Linked DNA regions of Saccharomyces cerevisiae S288C. The gene in region 1 interacts genetically with each later gene. Each region holds a gene or a part of one and is shown on either strand. Other genes may lie near its edges.

Evidence for each region. A genetic interaction does not mean that the proteins touch.
Region 2: mutations in NSG2 (region 1) and MUP1 together harm fitness more than expected from each alone (negative genetic interaction), as found in Saccharomyces cerevisiae (2 studies listed by BioGRID).

The regions. Positions count from the first base shown.
Region 1 is NC_001146.8:340,409-343,508, forward strand, and holds NSG2 (Nsg2p), read right to left. Parts: upstream 1,561-3,100; coding exon 661-1,560; downstream 1-660. Other genes in the region: IGO1 (phosphatase regulator), read left to right, coding at 1-450; YNL155C-A (uncharacterized protein), read right to left, coding at 1,503-1,727; CUZ1 (Cuz1p), read left to right, coding at 2,108-2,932. UniProt on the Saccharomyces cerevisiae protein: Stabilizes the HMG-CoA reductase HMG2 by preventing its HRD1-dependent degradation. Binds directly to the sterol-sensing domain (SSD)-containing transmembrane region of HMG2, promoting its folding to protect it from degradation.
Region 2 is NC_001139.9:597,424-601,183, reverse strand, and holds MUP1 (Mup1p), read right to left. Parts: upstream 1,768-3,760; coding exon 43-1,767; downstream 1-42. Other genes in the region: YGR054W (translation initiation factor 2A), read right to left, coding at 2,563-3,760. UniProt on the Saccharomyces cerevisiae protein: High affinity permease for methionine.

The sequences.
Region 1 (3,100 bases):
AACGGCGAAAGCGGAACTATTGATACCAGCAAATTCTCGCCCAACGAAATGAAGCTATACAAAATGTACGGAAAGCTGCCATCAAAGAAAGATATTTTTAAGCATACCATGCAGAAAAGAAAATATTTCGACAGTGGTGATTACGCTTTGCAGAAAGCTGGCATTCAAAACAATGATCCAATAAACTATGGAAAGAATAACCTGCCATTAACAAATCCCAGCAAACTACGAGAAGATATAATAAAAAGAAGGATAAGCACTTGTCCGTCAACTGCCTCAACCGCTGGTGTAGTAGATAATGCGACGTTGATACAAAAGGAGGGAAGTATATCGAGTGGACCACCATCGTCTAATAACGGTACTATTGGAGGTGGTAGTACAAGTTCAACGCCAGTGGGGAACCACAGCTCTTCGTCGTCCAGTTTGTATACTGAATCACCCATTAGATAAATAGACAACCTGTACTTTTTTATATTTTTTTAGGGAAAGAGAAGGGTCTCTTATATTTAACGCTTATTATGTGATTTCTCGAAATGTCAAGTGTTACAGCCATATGGCTGACTGTGTTTACGTTAATTAGTTATATATAAACGATAAGCCATTCTGATGTTATCTTCTTGTACTTCTAATTAATAATATTTACTCGTCAGAATTTCGACTTTAATGAGAATATAGATATCTTCCTAGTTTTCCAAACATTAGAGAACCAAGGAAATAAAAATCCATGAAATATAAAAATTGGGAACCGTCGATAATATCTTTGTAGCAAGAGATACAACAACCCACCCCAATGCAGATGCAGCTCATTAACATGGATATTGAGCCGTCAAAAAACAACCACAGTATAATATTCAGAAGCCCCCATGCCCCTGCCGCCTGCAAAGAGGAGTTCCACTGTATTTTCCTGATCCCAAATGTGACTCCCAACATGGCATTGATACTTCTAATAACAGAGGTCAAACTGTCATGGTGGACAGAGCTCTTAACAACCTCTGTTTGAAAAATATTATCCAGAATTGGTACAACAGAACCAAATAACAGTCCTTCAACACCGTAGCCTAACCAGTTTGGCAGAACCCCATTGGATAGCCAGTTACAAAGTTTGACACCCAGTAGAAGGGGTCTCGATGCAAAATCTGGATGTAAGAGATGATTATCGTGCAAGTTTCTGGACAGTTCATGATATGCGAAACCGCTCAATGACAAAATTAATACAGCTTGCAGGTAATGAAGAATATTTTGACGAGTTTGTCTGGTTCTTGACGGAAAGTTTTCGTGAATGGATGATGCTGATAAAATCCTTTCCAAATTATTAGAAGATACTGTGTTCCTTGGCAGCGAGCCGCCAACCTTATGGGCCAAGTAAAAAGTCGAATCAATAGTTTGATCTCTACTATATTTGGTAGAATCTATAGAGACAGAGCGTTTCAATTCTTCGTAAATTTCGTTATCTTCCGATCTCACGACGTCATCATCATATAATGAATAAAGCTGCGGTTTAGTCAGAGAGCAGATTGATTCGGTGCTCTTCTTTGGATCCGGTTCTCCTCTATTGGCCATTCTGTATGCTGTTTTCTTTGAGAAATACTTTGTCGTTTATCTTCGTCCTTGTCTTCTTTTTGGTCCTTTGTGTTTGAGTGCTTTCCAAACTTTTTCTTTACCTTTTGCACGCCAACTACTATGCCCTTTATTGCAAATAAAATAGGTACTACAATAAGCCCTATCATCAATGTTGAGCTGTCAACTAGAAGTTTAAGGAAAAGAACATCTCGAAGTTTAGTAATTTCCTTGCTTTCATATTTTAAATGTCTAGCTAATTTCGTATCTACCCTTTATCTCATGCCGATAAAAAGAAAAGTTCCCCCCTCGTGGCCAGCGACGTTCGTATATACATAAAACTGCCTCACCCTCCTTTCGGTGGCAAAAGCATGTTCTACAAATGAGTATAAAGATGTAATAAGAGCTTGTACAAGCAAGGACTCGAGCTAGGGCGGAAGTGTGACAACAGTGAGCTATAGGCACATTGTAGTGTACATCTACTGCAAGAGCTTGCATTAATTTTGATATAAAAAAAAGGACCATCAACTAATTTTTGCTATATTTAAGAATGTCGGCGGCTATCGAAAAAGAAACCGGAATGTTGGATGTAGGAAAGCACTGTGCATATTGTAGACAACTAGACTTCCTACCTTTCCATTGTTCGTTTTGCAATGAAGATTTCTGCTCGAACCATAGACTTAAGGAAGATCACCACTGTAGGTGGTTGCTAGAGCATGAAGAAGTTCATAAAACTGAAAAAAGTCCTAGCAAAAGCCGGGATGGCTCAAGTTCTAACGATGAAGCATATTTCAAGAGTCTGTTACCTGAGAGGGCCAGTGTTAGAATCCAGAGAGTAAGTGAAACAAGAGAGCCTTTGAGAGGTTCTAACACTGCCAAAGTGAGCTCTACTTTGAACTCAAAGACATTAGACAAAATATTTAAGTTCTTCCAAAGGAATGAGAAAAGAAAGAGCAATAACAAATCAAAAAAGAATTTCGGTTCCTCGTCGAATAAGATAATTCAATTGGCTAATCTCAAGAAAATTGCTAAAGGTGACCCCAAGATTCCTATGCAAAATAGGATTTACATTTGGTGTTACTTGGTGGATGGTGATGAGACGGATATAGCCAAGGAGGATACAAGAATGCCATTATACATTAACAAAATGTGGCCTGTGGGTAGGGCCATGGACTATTTGTCTATCCAGCTAAACGTGAAATCTAGCACACTAACTAATTCAAGTTCTAATGACAAATTTCAACTATGCAAATTGAAAGAGGGTAAACAAGTTTCATTTTATAATATTGGCGCTTCCTTAAGAGTCACTAATGAGATCAAAGATCTTGATACTCTGTATTTAGTACACAATAACGCCGACGAAAAATCTAATTAAGAAGGACACTATAAATAACAAACAATCGCGCGGAACGTCAAGCGTATATACTATATAAAAAGAAAACAAAAAAAATCAATAACCCATTAAAGATACATAATCAATAAAAAACGATATTAAAAAGCACGTAAAGTACTTAATATTTTTTTAATAATAGACATTTTCGCC
Region 2 (3,760 bases), on another chromosome or scaffold:
GTGATTATAAGAATCGAGATGAGATGGTAAGTACCTTTTTGGTTACAGCGATTTTTCTTGTTCACTTTTGTAATGTTCGATTATATTCGTTTCAATAACGCCGTCTTCTTGTGTATCGACATCGCCAATAGTGTCATCATAAACTTTGGCAATTTTGACTCTCCAGAACCCATCTTCACCAAGCACATCCTTGGAAACCAATTTGTAGTGGCCCCATCTTGGCAATAATTGGGCCCAAACAACGTAGTAAACACCACCAAAGAAGAAAATACCCCAAGCAATTACACAGTGGATCCAGTATGGCATGCTTGAATACACCGACTCGCCATTTGAAGGTGGAACGTAAGGAGCAATAATCAGGTATAAATTGGATAATGTGAAAAATCCCGTAACAAAAACACCGGCCTTAATTGGTGGGTTCCATTCAATTTTACCTTGTCTACGTTGCCAGTATATCCAAAGCAAACCCGCGCTAATGGCAAAATTAATAATATTCATTGGGTAGGAAATTAAATTTTGGACTAGCAAATATGCATCACCTGGAGGTGGGGCTAAAATGGTTACTGTACAAACAATAAAATGTTGAAACAAACCAACCATTGGGGAGTTGAATGGCTTAGAAGAGGCAAAGAAATTAGAAAAGGGCAACACACCTTCACGTCCTAGTTGTTGAATAATTCTACCCTGAGAAAAAATGACAGAAAGAACATTTCCTAAGGCACTCAACCCGACCAGTGCGGCTGCTGCTCTCTTGGCTTGGCCGCCAAACACAATATCGAAGAAGTCAGCAGCTAAAATCAATTTTGAAGAAATTAACTTATCTTTTGGAACCACAGCGAAGTAAGCAATGTTCACAAAAATGTAGATTATAGCCAAGAAGACCATCGATGTAGGACCAGCAATCTTCAAAGTTCTCACAGGGTTCTTAACTTCACCAAGTGCATAGTTAACATTGGAGTAACCGACAAACGACCAAATAACACTATATAAGGCGTTAACAATACCATAAGCAGTGGCGGTTTCAGTACCTTCAAAAGCATTACGAAAGTTGTGAGATTGATAACCATCTTTGAGACCACCGCCAAGGGCAACCCAACCGGTAATAGAAATGAAGAGGACAATACCAATCTTGAAAATACCTAAAATGTTTTGCAAATATAGACCAATCTTGACATTCAGAGAATTAATTAGGAATGCAAAAAAAACGACGGCCACACCAATACCTCTTTGATTCCATTTGGTCACTTCAGTATCAGCAGCAGTTAAAAACATAATAGCTGTATTGATGGAATTACCAGCAGCCCAACCTAGGAAGAAAATATACGCAGCATACATACAGGTAATGAAGAATTTTGGTTTCCTGAAAATAGCCTCCAGGTAGTTTTTTTCACCACCATTTTTCGGTATAGCCGTACCGAATTCCATGTATACATATAACCCAGAAATGGCAATAATGGCGCCAACTGCCCACATAATTAATGCAAGCCCCACAGACCCACATAGTGTGTAAATGGTCGAGGAAACGGCGAAAACACCGGTACCAAGCATTCTATTACAGATAAGCCCAATACACGACAAAATACCTAACTGCTTTTCACCTTGGTCCAATTCTGTAGCAAATTGCTGGCCTGCCTCAAAATCGGAGGCACCGTTGTCAGCATCCACTGTCGAGTTACTTACTTCCTTTTTTGTAGTAGAAGAAGAAAATTGATAGTTCTCCTTGTTGAAGACATTCAACTGTGACAGAAACGTTCTTCCTTCCGACATTGCTCCGCCTTTGTTTTCTCTTCTCTTGTCTTTAAAGATTTCTACAGAATGTGAAACTAATCCAAAAACAAAATATGATGAACAGCGGAAAAGTTTGTGTGAGAATCATCCTTATATATATATACTGTATGTAATCTTACATCACCATATGAAAATAACGGGCTGACTCAAGAAATTCACCGCCAAGTAGGAGGAACCACATTTGTAATGCAAGACTGTGTTATGTGTTACCATGGTGTGCAATAACTGCGAAGGTAGCACCGCTTGAGTCAACTGTGGCAGTTTATTAGATGCCACTCGAGTGTGGTGAACGGCAATTCCACAGTCTAACTTTTCAGTTGGCGCCGTGCCATCTCCTGGCTGCTAGGCCGATCTGTTATACAAAACCCTACACGGCGCCGTTTCTTTTTTTTTTTTCTTTTTCTGTGGCAAAGCGGCGACAGCGACGCTAAAAAAAACTGTGGTGGCGGATGCAGCGCCGGCTTACGGAGCCGAAGTGACACTCCATATTCATTTATTGCCTGGCGGTATCGTGGCATACATTGTAAGATGCGGCTGGTGGCAATCCGCCAAGAAGAGACGTAAAAATAAGGAAAATGCTCACTAATTATGTATGTATCAATTACTATTTGATGTTAAAAAAATATGTGGAAAAGTACAATAAAACAAGGGAAAAAAAGAAAGGGGGGAGGTTGGCGTAATTCTCCTGGGAAACAGTAAAAAACAATTCAAAGTAGTATTATTTGACGTTGTTAATATTTACACAGTTGTATGGATACATCAGTTTCTTCTAGTTTATTCATCCTTCCAACCCAACTTTTCCAAATCTTTCAACACTTTTTCTTCAGTTTGAATTTTTAGAACTTGCGTATCTTCTAGTTTGTCACCGACGGCCTGTCTTTCCTTCAAGGTTTCAATAGCCCTTAATTTCTTTAGTAAAGATCTTATTTTCTTCTCCTCTGGAGAAGTTTCTTTATTGTTTGTGGGGGCATTTGTGGAGGCAGGAGCAGATGGGGCCGGAGTAGAATCAGGTGACGTTTCACTTGACTTTTTATTGGCTCTTCTTCTCCTGTTCTTGGTGTTGGCGTCCTTGTTGGCACTCATGCCCGGAACTAGCCCTGGGATGGTCTTCTTTGCTGCACCAGGAGGAACTCCGGGGACAATACGTCCACCGCCTGTTCTTCTTGCGTGAGGTGGTTTATAAGCGCCTCCAGCTTTGGCCTTAGATCCGTTTCCATTGGAGCTTGCTTCTCTGCTTGGGTGTTGACTTATGTACTCTTGAACGCTAGAATGTATTTGCAATTCTGATTTATTGGATATTTTAGGATCAAGTGAAGATGTGGTCGAATCAGGTAGCGGTTCCCAGTTATTAATGATATGGTTCTCGAAAAATGCTTCGTCTTTGTTTTCCAAAGTTTTGTAATTACATGGTGACCTCCAGTCTACCTTCAAAAGCTCCTTGAACTCTTTAACAAATACTAAAGAGCCTGATACATGCCATATTTTAACGCCGTTATCCACTCTCAATCTTGGTGAAGTGGTAGCTGTCATGATAAATTCTCCACCCGGTGACCATTTGCAGACAGAAGTGTTGGTAGCGTCAAATTTACTCACACACTTGAATTTGTCGAGACGATCTAGGATTTCCACGGAGCCCTGTAAATTACCAAACCCGGCGATAAGAATGTAATGACCAGAGGGAGAGAAAAGCATGGTATTTTTGGCTTGTTGAGGTAATGAATGGACAACATTACCTCTTAAGTCAAAAAAGGAAATGGTTGCTGGCATGTAACCAGCGATGACACCGAATTGCCTTGAAGTTGGCGACCAAGTGAAATCGTGGACAGGTCCAGTGGTTAAAGAAACACGTACAGAGTTACCACCCAAAGTCCCGTTGACACCTTGGAAAGACAGTAAGTATAGTGTGTTTTCACCATAATATGATTTGTTTGAGGAATCAAAATCAGTAATAGCTAAACATAAAATAGCATTA